Lepisosteus oculatus: one gene and its partner. The protein of the gene in region 1 interacts with the protein of each later gene in a pairwise test. Links are inferred from orthologs where the notes say so. Each region holds a gene or a part of one and is shown on either strand. Other genes may lie near its edges.

What was found. The genes of interacting proteins can lie anywhere in the genome.
Region 2: the proteins of leucine zipper putative tumor suppressor 2 homolog (region 1) and mab21l3 interact in binary tests that used the Homo sapiens proteins (3 or more experiments, as listed by UniProt). The two-hybrid records come from large-scale screens. The link is inferred for Lepisosteus oculatus from reciprocal best matches to the Homo sapiens genes LZTS2 and MAB21L3.

The regions. Positions count from the first base shown.
Region 1 is NC_090699.1:45,525,335-45,533,491, forward strand, and holds the start of leucine zipper putative tumor suppressor 2 homolog, read left to right. Parts: upstream 1-4,546; 5' UTR 4,547-4,892; intron 4,893-6,466; 5' UTR 6,467-6,852; intron 6,853-8,157. UniProt on the Homo sapiens protein: Negative regulator of katanin-mediated microtubule severing and release from the centrosome. Required for central spindle formation and the completion of cytokinesis.
Region 2 is NC_090710.1:33,056,831-33,064,619, reverse strand, and holds the start of mab21l3 (protein mab-21-like 3), read left to right. Parts: upstream 1-4,384; 5' UTR 4,385-4,489; coding exon 4,490-4,537; intron 4,538-6,198; coding exon 6,199-6,339; intron 6,340-7,206; coding exon 7,207-7,278; intron 7,279-7,762; coding exon 7,763-7,789.

The DNA.
Region 1 (8,157 bases):
AGTAATGAAGCCAATTCACAGAGGGGGATTGTTAGGAGGCCATGATTGATAAAGGCCAATGGGGAAATTTGGCCAGGATGCCAGGGTTACACCCCTACTCTTTTCAAGAAACACCCTGGGATTTTTAATGACCACAGAGAGTCAGGACCTCGGTTTTACATCTCATCCGAAGGACGGCGCCTGTTTACAGTATAGTGTCCCCATCTGGCCCCCCTAGCACCTCTTCCAGCAGCAACCTTAGTTTTTCCCAGGAGGTCTCCCATCCAGGTACTGACCAGGCTCACACCTGCTTAGCTTCAGTGGGCTGCTAGTTGTGAGTTGCAGGGTGATATGGCTGCTGGCAGTAACTTTTCCGTAACAGAGTGCGCTGGTCATCTCCACAATCTGTGTGCTGGAGGAAAGCAGATGTGGTCCATATCTCTCCTGTGCTGGTACAGCCATAGAAGTCACCTGGACTGTAAAACTGGTGATTTTTTATTGTTTGTGTGTAAAATGTTAAAATAATTTATGTTGATTCCAAAATTAAGAAAGAAAAACTCCTGGGGACCCAAAACCGGGCTCTCAAAGGAACAGCACTGGGTGAGAATTATAGTTATTACCTCTGGCTGTGCAGCCTAGGCTTTACAGCTCTGGTGTGAATTGTGCACAACGGCTCATATGCAAATTCAATTTTCCAACTGTGTGTTATTAATATTAGCAATAATAAAATCACACTTGAAAAACAAGCTCTCAAATGAAGCGTGAAAATTGCTCTAAAGGGGGCAATGTTTCAGGACGTGAAATGTATGACATTCAGAATGAGGGTCATGGAGAGTTCAGCTGCGAAGGGGTTTAAGATTTAGACTGGTGTGGAGCTCAACACACTCAGCTGCTTCATAGGTGGTGTTAAAGGAGACATTACACCTGTGTAACTTTTTGAAACTGAAGTGTGGTTTAACATAACACAGAAAGTTGCGTGCTTTGTCTTAGCTTCTAACAAGGCTTGTTTGTCATTTCTAAGTTTTTCCCAAACTGTATAGACCACCAAAAGCGTTATCTACACATAACAGCAATCTGAAAATAAACAGCCTTTACATGAAGCCAGCTTTTTGTTTCAACAACTGGTCTCACAGTGCTGAATGAGGCGGAACGCAGTGTGTGGTTTGTGTGAAATCTGGGACAAGGGTTCTCACGAACATTCTGCAGAGGGAAATGTATTTGTTCTAGAAAAACTATCTGGAGTCACAAGGTGATATTCCAAACACTGCACCTCTCGGTCACCCTAAGAAATCAAGTTTGTTATTCCTCTTATTTAATTGCCAAGCACCCATCTCCATTTGCCCTGCTGAAGATATCACATAATAATGGACGTTTAAATAAAATCAGCCTGCCCTTCTGTTTATAGCAATGCTGAATAATGGCGAGACACCTATTCCCATCGGGAGTTTAACGATCGAAGACTGGCATGATCTTCATTATGCAGATCTTTTTCTTGTACATGAAGCTTCTAAAATTCTCTATAATGGATTTTAGACTCTCCAATTATTTTTGTTTTATGAGATTTAATTGCATTAAATGACCTAGACATGCCAGGAGATAGTTAATGACCAATCAGTCAGGATCTAAGTTTAATCTCTTCCAGAACACAGCATTCTCTTCATCACAGTGCTCATGGTCATCTTACATTGGTTTGCATACCCTGGTCCAGAAGGCATAGCACCACCTACTGGTCCACCTACTGGTCCACTAACACAGCTTATTATGGCAACCTAGTGCACCTGACTCTCCCAGCACTAACCAGGCACAGCCTTTCTGAAGTTCTGACATCTGGCGCAATCAGTATAGACCAAAGGCAGCCAACTTTGGCACCTGGCTTCCAAGTCATTCCAGGACTTTGAAGCTTTCAATACATCTAGTGCTGAAATGATTCTCAATTGCTTAATGACCCAGGTGCCGCCAATCAGTTTGAAAATAATAATAATAATAATAATAATAATAATAATAATAATAATAATAATAATAATTGCTTACACTAATATAGCGCTTTTCTGGACACTCCACTCAAAGCGCTTTACAGGTAATGGGGACTCCCCTCCACCACCACCAATGTGCAGCCCCACCTGGATGATGTGACGGCAGCCATAGTGCGCCACAACGCTCACCACACATCAGCTATCAGTGGGGAGGAGAACAGAGTCATGAAGCCAATTCATAGAGGTGGATAACTAGGAGGCATGATTGGTAAGGGCCAATGGGAAATTTGGCCAGGACGCCAGGGTTACACCCCTACTCTTTTCGAGAAACACCCTGGGATTTTTAAAAATGACCACAGAGAGTCAGGATCTCGGTTTTACGTCTCATCCGAAGGACAGCGCCTGTTTAAAATGATGGAATAGCTGGAGCACAGACCTACAGTGGCATGCAATCCAGATGCCAAGGTTGACTGCCACTGGGCTAGATGGCACTGATGCCACCGTCAGCCTGCTTTATCTGCCTAATCAAGGGCGACAACCCCTACACCAGCATGGGGCAAATAAGCAGAGACGGGCTCCTTCACCCAGCCCTTTGTGCACTGCCACGTGGGGAATTCTGCCCACAGCTGGGTAGTAACATGACCCGCCTTCGAACCCAGAGAGTCTTGGTGGTTGAAAATGTTATTGGTAAATGACAATAAAACCATGCCGAGGTGCTAAGACTCCCTGCTGCTGTCAATGTAGACTCACAACATCAGAAACCCTCAGGCCAGACGAATAGGCTCTCTGTCAATATAATTTGTTTGTCTCAGGGGTGTGAGAAAGCTGCTCTTCACTTTCCAATGCCAGACCAATCCCCAGGTCTCAGTCCTACCAAGAACTGGCAGCTCAAGTGGTTCAAAGCTCATCATCGCCCAAAGGGATTGGGCTGCAAATACTTACAAAATAAAGTAATGTAATGTGGTTCAAGTATGGAAATGCATGCTACATCCTGTTCAAACCGTCCTTTATATTTTCTGATACTAAACAGGAGCTGCAAATTCCATTAGAAATTCTTTAGAACCTGTAATAGATTGAAAGGTCACCTACAGTCTGAATAATGAATAACCCGGTAGTTACCAATCCTATTAAAGATTAATCATGATTAGTAACAAAACACTTGTCTTTATGTGCAAATGTGTTAGTGATTGACAACCGAGTGTTTATGTCTTGTTTGTTACATGTTTATAAGGTGTCATTTACAAGCCACAAAGCCACAGTGTAAGTAAAAATGCTATGTAGCAGGGTTCCTAATGTTTTTGGCTGATGAGTATAGCAGTTCAAACACTGAGATATTACCACTATGATGTTTTACAGATCATCAGGAGTGGAACTTGTTTTCATGAACAGATATATGACAGTTTGAAGTAAAATGACTTTATTAGCGTCAGCACAGAGGTGTGGTGGTTAGGACTGCTATTCCAACTTTGATTCTTGTTGAGGTACCTTCTATGTGGAGTCTGCATGCTGTCAACATGAGGTTTCTGTGAGTACTTTGGTGAGTTAGGTAGGTTAATGGGTATCTCTAAATTCAGGTGTATCCTTTCCGATTGACATCTACAGTTAATAATACAATGTCCTGTTGTATAATAATAATAATAACAACAACTTTATTAACCCTTTACAATTTCTTGCATTAGGAATTATCTTTTGGCATACCCCAGCTTGCTCTCCATGAGACACAGAGAGAGAGAGAGCCTGGGGTCAGAGCGCAGGGAGGGGAAGGGGTTGGGGTTAAGGGCCTTGCTCAGGAGCCCAACAGGGTAGGATTCCTCTGCCAGCTGCAGGATTTGAACCAGCAACCTTTTGGTCACAGGGGCAGATCCTTAGCCACAGAGCCACTGTATTGATTATTGATTAACTTTATTGATTGTTCCTTTATTTCTTCTTGTGCTTTGTTTCCTGAGCCACAATAGTGTGAGCTTCTTGGCCATGTCATTACTATAAAAGAGTATAAAAGAGTACTTATTCTAAATTATCTGGATAAAGATGATGTTTAATACCACTATTGCTAATAGTTTTCCTCTAATGCTTTAATATACTATAAAAAACAAAATAACATTTATTGAACCGCAATCTTACCCTAAAATACTGGATACCAAAACTTACGTGTTTCCCGATTCTTATTTTCAATAAAATAGCTTTCTCAAAGAGAAACTCGATTTTAGGATAACTGGGATAAGCCGTTTATTATCTACAAAACGTTACTCGTGGGAACAGACCATTCTTAAATGCTTGGTTTATATGCTTTTCTGTGTGTAATCACCCGGAATCGACAGTATGAGCTCGGGTGGGAAAAAAAATGGCTAATTTAAGCATTTCAGCGAAGAATGGGATGAGACTGAAAATACTTTTGCCAAAGTAAACGTGATCTCTCGGGTTTTTCATTCAGATTCATACAGGTACTGTATGAATCTGAATGTACTAAGATGAACAGACGATGTTCAATGCGAGCATTATTTTGTAGTGGGAACAATTTACAGTGTAACAGCTGGCTTCTTCAGGACGCTGAGGTCGGCAGTCCGCACCCCCCTGCGGCCCCCCTCCCCCTGCCCGAGCCCCGGTGTGAGGGAGAGCAGGCCGGCTGTCTCTCCAGCCAGCGGCGGTGCGCAGACCGGTGGGGGCTGGGTCCTGCCGGGAGACGAGCGAAGGCGCTCGTGTTTGCCCGTCAGCTCCACAGGGAAGTGCAGGGCGATGGGAAGTCTGGTGCTGTGAGAGTCTTCGCTCGGACCGCCGCGAGGCTGTTCTGAAACTTGCTGGCAGACCCACAAATTCCGTCACAATAAAACTCAACACCGCGGATTTCGCATGCCTGGGAACTGAACTCTTCCCCTCTCTCTCTACGCTCTTTGCAAAAGTACGGTCTTGGATCTTCGGATGAAGACTTGCGTGTACTAGTTGGTAAGTTTACGGAACCAGTTTGCTTGTTGTTATTTATTTTGATGTAGCTAAATCATTTGATTACAGCTCGGGATTGCCGGTGTACCATACCTGCACTGTTGTCAGGTCTACTTGGAGGCAGAAACTTCGAACTAAACGCTGTTTATCATCACGTTTACTTAAAAGCACCACACCACACAATAACGCATAAGTATATATAGAAACTCTTCAGCGATTTTGCTATTTGCTGTAGTGTTGTTTTCTGAGCAGTGAAAGCACGAACAAAACAACCGGTTTTAGTTTTACAACATCGTGTGAGACTCCAGGCTTCGCAACAGATCGGAACAGCACCGGCGATCGCAATTGCATGTATTGAAATGTGTTATAAGGCTCTTACTAAGGGGCAGATTAAAAATATTGTTGAGGAACTCTCCACACTTTGAAGTGCGTAATTATGTGCTGTCGAGTTCTCGCGTCGGGATGGAAGGAGCCCTTTGATGGTGCGATCAATATCGCAGTACGATGTCTTTATCTTGGGGTTTCGGTGCCGCGGTATGGCTCGGCCGGTATTTTAAAATCCAAATGAAGACAGTGGCGGTGTTTTTGATCAGAGTGAAGTGGGTTGGGTCGCGAGTCGACACCGGCAGAGCGCCGGAGTCAGCGGGGAACCGGCTGGTCACCGTGCGGCAGAGCGGCGCTCTCCGTGGGTGTCACGGTGCGCGCTTAACATCCCCCGGTAATGTTTAGCCCCCTCCTTCCGCAACTGAGCTTGTAACGATCGGGAGAAGGAATGTGCAATTAAAATCTTTCATTTGGGATTACTCCCCTAGATGCTTTTAGTAGAGGCTTGAGTAATAGAAAGTTAGGGACTAAAATTAACGTGTTGTATGCAGCTTGCCTATTTCATTGGGTTCCTAATATTGTAAAGACAAAACTACAGCTTACCATGCACATTCATTATGACTGTTCCATTAAAATCCGAGATAACGTTCAGTGTTCAGGTCGCGGTTTTGCGCTTTGAGATCAAGCGCAGTTTAAAATCCGCCCTGTGGTTTCTTCTGCAGTGCCGTCAAATGGCGGTAGAGGGCGATGTCCTGGATCTGTGAGGGGCAGTGAGAATGATTTGTGCCTACTCCGCGTCGTGCAGAAAATCCCTCTGACCTTGAGCCCGGGTGGGACTGTCTTCACTCGCTCTACTGAACAGTTAGGAAATCCACACTGGAAGTCATACAGAGCCCCACCATATTAAAATAAATATCCCCAAACTCGAGCTGTTTTTTTTTGCCCTACATATTTCTGCACCTGTGGTACATCTGCTCCAGCTTTGGGCTCGAGCGTCTGAGTCAGGCCTTATTAAGAACAATGCTTGCTAACAGTGTGGTACTTTTCAAGCTGGGTGCAGGGTTGTCAACTCTCTAACAATGTGGAACAGAATGTTATGACAATGACTTTGAGGTACAAACCTTTACCACAGTAAGGACAGGTTACTAAAATACAAGAAAGAAGACTTTGCTACATTCCACCATCCTTGCCTCTGTGACCTCACACGCAGAAGGGTTAAAGGAACTCAGTCTCTTTAGTTTTGTTTATTATAGGTGTGGACAGAACCGACCCAGATGACTTCTTCAAGCTAAACAGTGACCCAAATGTAGAAGGCCCTTGTTCTAAACACACAGTCTGCCGGACAGAACAAGCTGTCTGCTTTGTTGTTCAAGTTGACTGCTGGCAGCCTTCAGGCAGTAGCTGGACGATGACCTACAGTGCTAAAGCTCACCGGGGTGCCCCTGTGTAGCCCTTCTGCTGGCTTTGTGAGATGGCCTGGCTGCTGAGTGTGTGAAACAGTGGCATGACAGCAGAAGCCCTTGAGTTGCTGGGACGCCTTCAGCCCTGAGACTCCTGGGAGGGCTCTTCACCTCCAGTGCTGAACAGAGCGAACCCTGTGATCACAGACTGGCCAAGGTGTCACTTGGAAAAGGAAAATGTAGGTGTTGTTTGGTGCCTATCGGACAAGGACACAAGAAGCCGGTATCATATTTTATTTATAGCCTTTTTTTTGCAATAGATTAATGAGGCAGTGTAAAGTATTGCCTTAAAGGGGAATGCTCTGTGGTACCAGAGCCCTTGACGGCAGCAAGCTCTTCCCATCTGACTGATTCCACCTGTCAGCTCAGGTTTATCTCTGGCCCACTTAGCATTTAGAGAGGCTGGCCTTTATAAAACCCGAATCTTCAGTCTCCCTACCACAAGCCTCTTATCAGTGGGTTTCAGATGCTGGTTTCATTTAGGGCTGAGCAAAGGGCTGTTATCCTGCAGCTGTGCTACAAAGACAGAGAATAAGTATTCTGTTTCATCCCCTACCTGATCCTGCACGGCACCAAAGGGTATTGTGTCAGGCTGGACAGTGAAATACAAGTTGTTAAAGAACAGTGGGATTCTTGAACATTGCAGGAAATCCTTGGAAAATGACAGCTTAATTCCAAGACTTGGAAACCTAATGAGGAAGGGTGGAATGGAGGAACAAATAAGTTTTGGGTGACAATGTGTTAACAGAATCATGGAGTTGTGGTGCTGTCTGTTGAAAAAGACGTATATTGTTATGATTTATTGAACTGATGACTTTAGGAAGGCATGATCTACCATCTGCATTGTAAAGGCCAGCAGTTTAGTTGCTGTGGTCTTGTGCAGGACTGACGTCCCATAGGCACAGTATAGTGTGCACAGTGACAGTGGAGCAGCAGGGCAGAGTGCGCGGGGAAGCGGGTGATTGCTGGGTGAGCAGAGAGGAGTTCTGAAGGATGTTATTAGAGAACTGCAGTGCGGCACAGCGGACGTGGCAGTGGAAGGCTGCGAGTTCTAATCCCAGGCGGGCTGCTGCTGTGTCCTTGAGCAAAGCGCTTCACTCACATTCACTTGTTGTAAATTGTTAAGTAAGGGCAGTGTGTTGATCGTCTGGGCTGATGACCAGGCTGTACGGTGATGGTGAAAAGGCTACCAAGAATGTTCTGGAGAAATTGTGGGCAATTTCATTGGATGGGGAGTTGAAAACCTAAAAAGGGAGGCTTTTGAAATATTTTTTATGCATCTACTGCTTTATCCAGTTCAGGGTTGCGGGGGAGCTGGAGCCTATCCCGGCAGGCAGCGAGCACAAGGCAGGACAGTCCATCCCTGCACGGGACGCTGGTCCATCACAGGGCACCAAATGATTCCTTCTCTCATCGCAAATCTTCTTTCTGCGCCTGACGGCATTGCTCTTCTGCCAATGTAGATCTAGCGGATATGACGTGCA
Region 2 (7,789 bases), on another chromosome or scaffold:
GGGAAAATAAACTGTGAATTATACACACTTCTAGTTTTCATATATACAGTAAGACAGGACTGAAATTATTAAGAACGTAAGAATGGTTGCAGATGAGGGAGGCCATCAGCCCATCTTGACTGTGCGCTAATATGAATTGTTCTGAGGATCTCTTCTGACTGCTTTTTTAAAGAAGCCAAGATATCATGTTTGACAACAATGGCTGAGTAGCCTATTCTGAACTTCCATAACTTCTCCTTAGAACGTCTGGCTTGTGTTTCAAGTTTGATTCTGACTATTGCCAGTGCCTTTGAATGCTTGAATCGGGTCTCTTTGTAAGAGTTCATTGCTCAGTACTTTTATTCCTCAAAGCACAGAACCATACAGTATACCTGTACCTGATTCCAGAGTCATATCAATTTTGTAATTAACCAAAACGGAGCACAAAATGTGAAATTAGGTCTTACTACTGCATTCTTTAATTTTAAGTACATTTTACAGTACATTGTACAGTTTTAATCACATTTTGAAACAATTTGTCTTTTTCATTGTCCCCCCAGATTTTCTAAAAGATAGAAATAGTGTCAATATAATCTTCTGAGTCAACATCTAAGTGTTTTCAATAGATTGCTCACTTTTGAATTGTCTCTAAATTTTCCTGTCTTTTCCCGCAAATCTACCTATTTTGGTATCATCTGTGACCATGATTTATTGATTAATTTTGCCAGAATTGAGAACAGTGATATAAATTAAGAATAACTGTGATCCCTATACAGATTCATGTGAATTAAGACCAAAGTACAACATTTGCAACTATGTTATTTTACCAATAACTAATATAAATTAGAATAATTTAAAATCTGTAGCATATTCCCAGATGTACAGGGACTGGCCACAGTTAGAACACCAGTATTAATAAGGGAAGGATATTTTTCTGAGACTGAAGCCTATACAAGCAGTCACACAGATACATTATTGCTTCATGTGAGTTAATACGTTCCTGCTGGAAATGGGGGCGTAATCAATTCAGTGGCTTTGAGTACAAATTTAGAAAAAAAAATCCTCTGGTCAGAAGTCAATGGCATCGACTGTGTCAGATCACATTACTGTGCTCAACCGCTGATAGTTTCCTGTTTTTCCTGCTTCAGAAAAGTAAGCCAACTGTTAAGTTCATTGAACTGTTCTGCATGCTATAAAATGGAAATAGTCAGGCTTATACATCAGCCTTCTTAAAAAGTGTACTAAATGCATAGGGGCTGATTCACACAAGGCTGTAGTGTGATAGGACATGTATAAGCTCAAGGGGAAACAGCATACACACAAACCACAGACTGAAGTGTTTCCAAGCCCTACATGCATGTGCATGTTCTAAAAACAAATTTCATTTAAATGTTATGGCTCTGCTAATTGCACTGCAAGGCATTCAAATGATGTTGAAGGACAAAGTAACCAGAGTCATGATATGCGCTTGCTATTCGCAAACACTCTGTAGATGGAGTGCCTAATTTACACATACATTTGTACAGATGATAAACAGGTAGAAGGGGCTGAGATCCTTCTTATAAAAAGGAAAAAGAAACGTCCACATCCTGAATGCTCAAAATACATGGATATTTGTTGAATAAGAAAAATCTTGCTATATTGCCAAGTCTGCATCAAACTTTAAGTTAGCACAAGCACTTTAAATTACAGCATAATGACACAAAAACATCTGGATTACATTTTGCAGGGCAGCGTAGTGTTCACATTTATTTAACAGTTCATTAGTTAAATTGTACTTTTCTGTGTTATTTTATCCTCTGTGCATTGGTAGTCACCATTATTTTACTGTAAGACTGTGAAATGCCAGTATTTTAATCATTGCAGATCTATTAATACATATTATGTGTTTGCATTAAACTAACCTAAAGTAACACTTTAAGCACCCTAAACAGTAAGTCATGATTATTCTAAAAATAAACCTTTAATGGTATTTATTGGGAGTTTACAGTTGTTGACAACACAGTCAGATGTTTTAGGCTAGCTGCTCTTTATGATCAATTAGACTAAATCCCAAATCATTGTGAGTCACTCTAAGTGACTGTTGTGGACTGAACAGCGCAGAGGTTGCTATGATAAAATGTTCCCCTGGGTCCAAATGCTAGCTTAATTTGTTATCTGTTTCCATTTATGTGTTTTTGCTGTACCCATGACTTGACCTATAAAAGGAGTTTTTTCCCCATCTTTCTGTCTAAATGCTGTTTTTCCCCATTACTTCAAAAATTCAAAATACAATGTATCATAATGTTGGACTGTAAAACAGCAGATGTTTCCTCAATAAATGTTAATTAAATTTAAAATGGTTATATTCTCATTAAATACGACTTAAGACAAATAATAAACTGATGAATAAACTCTAGCTTTTTGACAGAGTACTGGACAAAAGTTATTCACTATAATTCCACCAGGATGTAAATTGGGTGCACTTTGGAAGTGATAAGTTATAAATGTGCTGTACTGTATATGTACGTGGTTAAGTATAGTTTGCCTAAGCTGAATACTGTATATACAGTATGGTATGTAGTCTGGTATATTCAGCATATGACTATCATTCCATTACTATATATTTTAAATTATTGCTTAGTTAAGAACAACACGTTCTTTGTTTAATGTAATTTTAACGTAACATCACACATGCCATTTAGTTAAGAAACCAAGAAAGATAAATACTTTAAGTTTGGAGTTACCTATGTTTTTAGTTTTCATTTCTAATTGTAATAACAAACACCATGAATAGAATATGAGAGACATGCTTTCTAACTGTGCCATACACATTTTTGCTCACAGTCTTGTACGGATTTCATAAATGTAAAGAGCTGATGTTGATAGAATAGGACTTAAGTGTTTCTAATCGGGTCTAAAGCACAGTATTACTGTTGATTTGTTACCATTAGTTCTCACCTCCACTGAAATCATGGTCCCACAGTAGTGAGTTTACTGCCAATCCAGGTCTTCTGGTCTGCTGTTGGTCTTCAGTTTTCCTGTTTGATGCATTCGGGACCCTTTTAAATTTGAACATATTAGTTTTATTATTATTCTCTGTCAGCCTATTGCATCATTTGTTTGTTTGTTTGTTTGTTTGTTTGTTTTGGTGTGAACAGGTACTATATACTGTACGCCAGAACATCCCATGGGTGTAGTCCCACCATGGTTTGGTTCACACCACACCTACTGCAGGTGTCCTGTTTTCCCATGTACATAATGTAACCTGCACGTTTGCTGTATATTTAGAGACATTCGGTGTTGACTAGATTATCGGAATATAAAGTGGTTTATGATATTTACATTCTGCTTAATGAGCTTATCTGGTTAAGTCTGTTGGCTACAATGATTTCCTTTTATGATGCTATAATCTGGGTTTTGCTATAATCAGTCTCTGCTCCTGTGTGTGTGATCACAGATTTGTGGGTTTTGTAAGTCTAACTAGATATTGTACTGACTATGCATTCCTATATTTTCTATATTATAGTTTTACAAGTTATCAGTATCCCCTTTCCCTGACCTTTCTGTTTGACTCTGTTCATCTGCCTCTGCTGCTCTGTCGCTCAAGTGGAGTTAAAGCTCCAGTAGCTGTTTTTGTAGGTCAGGTCAAAAGTTGTGAAACCTCAGATTCCAACAGATCTTGGCAGGTGTTTATTTTCTGCCTTTAGGCATCAGTTTGAATAATATACTGGCTTTGCTGTAAAGAATTTTTATCTCGTTCACATTCCAGTTTACAATATTAAAAATATGTAAAGTGAAGGAACCTGTTCTCTTGATTGTTGCATTTTGCATGTTATCGTCTTTCTAGGTGACAGAGCCTTTGGTGTTGAAATGTTAGCTGATGCCACTGTGAAAGTTGTATCTGCAGGTATAAAGAGGGCCAAAGGTCAAACAGAACAGGTGAGATAATAGTCTCCGTAAAATGTACTGTACCTCAAGTTAATGTTTCAGATTTCCACATAACTATGGTAGTATTCATAAAGCTAATCAATGTTAGAGAAAGTTTATTCACGTTCAATACCTTCAGAATGTATTATAGTTTATTTACTCTCAAACACCTTTCTATTCTCTGTATTTATTGTGCTAAGTATTTTTTATTATGTATTTATATATTATATGGAACCAATAGCATACATAAGCATGACGTACCTGTATATGTTAGGAAAATTGCATTGTATTTAAAGTGATTTTAGTAACTGGTTGCTAATGTTCTGTGTTGTTTTAATGGGTGATAGTTTGATAGTATGATTTGGAGGACTAAGGGACCATGAGAACACATTCATTCCTAAAGTCAATGGTGTTTAATCAATAACGTAATGTTCAATTCCCTTTTTTTGGCTTGGTGTTAAACGCATTGCCACATTGAAGCTTGTGGTGAGTGAGATACACATCTGTGAGAAGCAAGATTATTTACCCAGAACAAAGCAACAAGAATCACACAGAACTACAGTAAGCACATAAGTGAACCAAAATACAAGCAGAGTGTGAAATGACAGGTTTTACAGAGGAAGACTTGGACAACTTCCTACAAAACCAGGTAAATAATCTGAAGTCTTTTTTGGAAAAAAATATTTTAAAATGATTTAATGTTCTCTTTCCCTCTCTTGTGTCTCTTTTGGTTAAAACATTACTACTTTATTTATACAGTTAATGCAGTATAATATATAATATAATATAATAAATTGGCTCAGGGTGTGGTAAGATTGTAATCTTAATAAATTACATAAAATTATATTATCAGAAAGACTATTTTATCAGGTTTCTTTCTAAAATGATTAGGATTGTAGCTGCTCAATATACAACAATGTGTAAATGTGCTGCATGATGTGTACAGTATTTATGTATTTCATTGATTCTGCAAGAGTGACCAGTATTGTACTAGAGGATTGCAATGTGGTGATCAGTATTTTATTATCCAATAGTTGATTTGGTATCAATCAGGAAATATTTGCATATATGCATTACAATGATATTTAATGAAGAATTAAATATAAGGTGTGTCATATTGCAAGGCAAGTTCCAGATTATTTACCCAATCCCAATTACCAAATTTTATATTAAGCAAATACTACCCAATTACCCAGTCTATTTTAACCTAATCCTTTAATTAGTCTCAACTTTCCTTTAATTTTATTTGAGCAATAAAAAACATTATTTTGAACACCAATTAAGGATATGACTTTATGAAATATAAAATTATCTAAAACAGGTAACAGTATTTTTTGTATGGCTAGATGTTGCATTTATCACTCTAATACTAAACCTTTATTTTATACACAGTAGGGTCTTTCATGCCAATACATCAGTACAGATGTAAACAATCAACACCTCATAAAAAAAACATGTTGAAAAAAGAACAAAATATAAAAATAAGTATGAGCTAGCCTTCGAAGATAAATAATGTACTGTATATTCCTTGTATAAATGTAATTTATCGTTTAAGAAAAGAAGAAGGTGATTGATGGAACAGCACTTCAGAAACTTAAAAATAACAAATGTTTGTCTTTTTCTTAACCCAGAGTTAGAGTGGTCATGTGGAAACTGTGGTAATGGAAATTGTATTACAACTGCATGTAAACTGAAATAAAATTAATTAAATTCAGTTTTTGACTTAAACTTTGAATATCATAAATACCTTATTCAACATGTTGATCAAAAGTCATTTATCGTAATTCTAAACTTCATTTAAAGGTACATGTAATGCACACCCACCCTAGCTTTTTTGATAACCTACAGTATAACATTTGTTCTGCTTATTTTCCTTTCAAGCTGAAAAATAACGGTTCAGTCATTAAGCCCCTGCTCTGTCTCGTGAATGACATTCTTATTGTATCATAACATTGGTTTTGTTACATTACAACAAAACAAATCATATTCTCAACTCTGCTTTTTTTTTGCTGGTAGTCAGTACGTCCAGTTAAAAACTTTCTGATAAAATGATTTACGTTTTTTAGTTTGCATTGCTGTTGTATGTCACACCGTATTGTATGAGTAAACTTTATCAATGTAATTGTGGGCTGAGGAGGTGGCTGTGTGATAGGTTTTGGGCCGAGAGGCAAGAATGGCAAAGAATAATGTTCCTGGAGAGTTTGCTATTGGCCGACAAACTGAGAACATGCCAGCAGCTCTGGCACTTTCCCAGCAGAGGGAATGGTAGGTTTCCTGTGGCCTTGTGGCTCTGAATGCCCCTTTCTGCAGGTGGATCTCCGACACCGTCAGGTGTCCAAGACAGTGGACGAGGTTCAGCAGATCATCAAGGACCTGACCTCAGAGGTGAGCACCAAGGATGGCCGATTTCAGAGCATCTCCAACTCTGGTGTCCACAATGATAATATAAAGGTACATTTTATATATCCTTTTTGGTACATCTGTATAACTTGTTTACCATGTTACCTGAGAAGCAGGGTAGTGCCTCAAAGGTTGGACCCAAATACTAGCCACAGATTAATAAAGGACATTCGTAATGACTGTAATGTATTACTGGAAGAAAATAAGGTAGAAGAAATTCAAATTAATATTATTGTATGTGCCTACATTAGTATTTTACAATTAAGAAGTCTGGCTTATACCAATTCTGCCGTAAATGTATTTTGTTGCATTGCTGTAATAGGAGTAAAGAGGTTGTCACAATTACAGGCACCATCAACAGCCTTAACTAGATCTAAATCCAGCACATTCGTATTGACAGCCCTGTAATTAGAGTGTGCAGTTGCAAAGCTCATGCCAGGCACTCTCTGGATCTTTTATTTGCTTTCAGTCTCCAATTTCAGAGTTTTGCCATTTTCGGATGTGGTTTCTTCCTCTCCCTAGTTTTAATTCCAGAACAGTCCCTTCAACACCCCTCCATAGAGGTTTTCTTAAACTGCCAGCATGCCTGTCTTCTTTGTGTTTTTCTTTCTTGGGATTCCTGCTGAAAAGAATTGTTTTTTGTGAAAATCAAATGGAGACCATATTATCTTTGAAACCCAAATTATCATGTACGTTAAAATGGCCAGTGTTTATTAGAAGTTCTATAATAACTGCATACTGTAGAATGTCAATTTTGGGGCACAAGTATCTCCAAAGGGGTTATGTTTAAGGTAGTAAGATGTACAGAATTTCAACACGTAACGGTAGCTGTAGCTTTACTAAAAATGCTGGTTTAAAAACCCTGTTTACTCAATACTGTCCTCTTCTCTGACTCTCTGACTTCACCATGCTTGCCAGGATCAACCTGCTCTAATGGCCAAATGGGCAGCTCTTCTGAGGGGAAAATGTGCATTCAACCCAGCCATCCAGGTAGTGTCTCGTGTCTAAATCAAACCATTTCACTGGAATTTCTGACTGTAGAGAAATACCTGTACATTTCCCGTGAATCTGTCCTGACATTAATGATATTAATATAATTAATCATTGGTACTGTTTTCTGGAATTGAAACACTGTGTACACTTGGAAGGCCACACAGTTTCTGTCCCACTGATTGCTGTATGAAGCCTTTTAGCTCTAAGTTCATTTTTACTTTTAAGCACTTGCTGTTTTGCATTTCTTTTTGTTGAAAGGTGTACACTGTCAAGTATAATCTCATACGCTGTATATTGTACATGTGCGGCTGAGCTGAATTGTATTAATAGAATCTCCAGTATTATAAATATTAGAATGACGTGTGTCAAAAAGTGTGTTTTGCTTAACAATATATTTTCAGTCTCTGTTGTTTTTGAAATGCCGAAGCAGACTTGCTCTCGAACGGCGTGTGCACTTTCTCAAGCGGTGCTGCTCCTGCAGGTCCTCACGCCCGCCCTGTTCCTAATC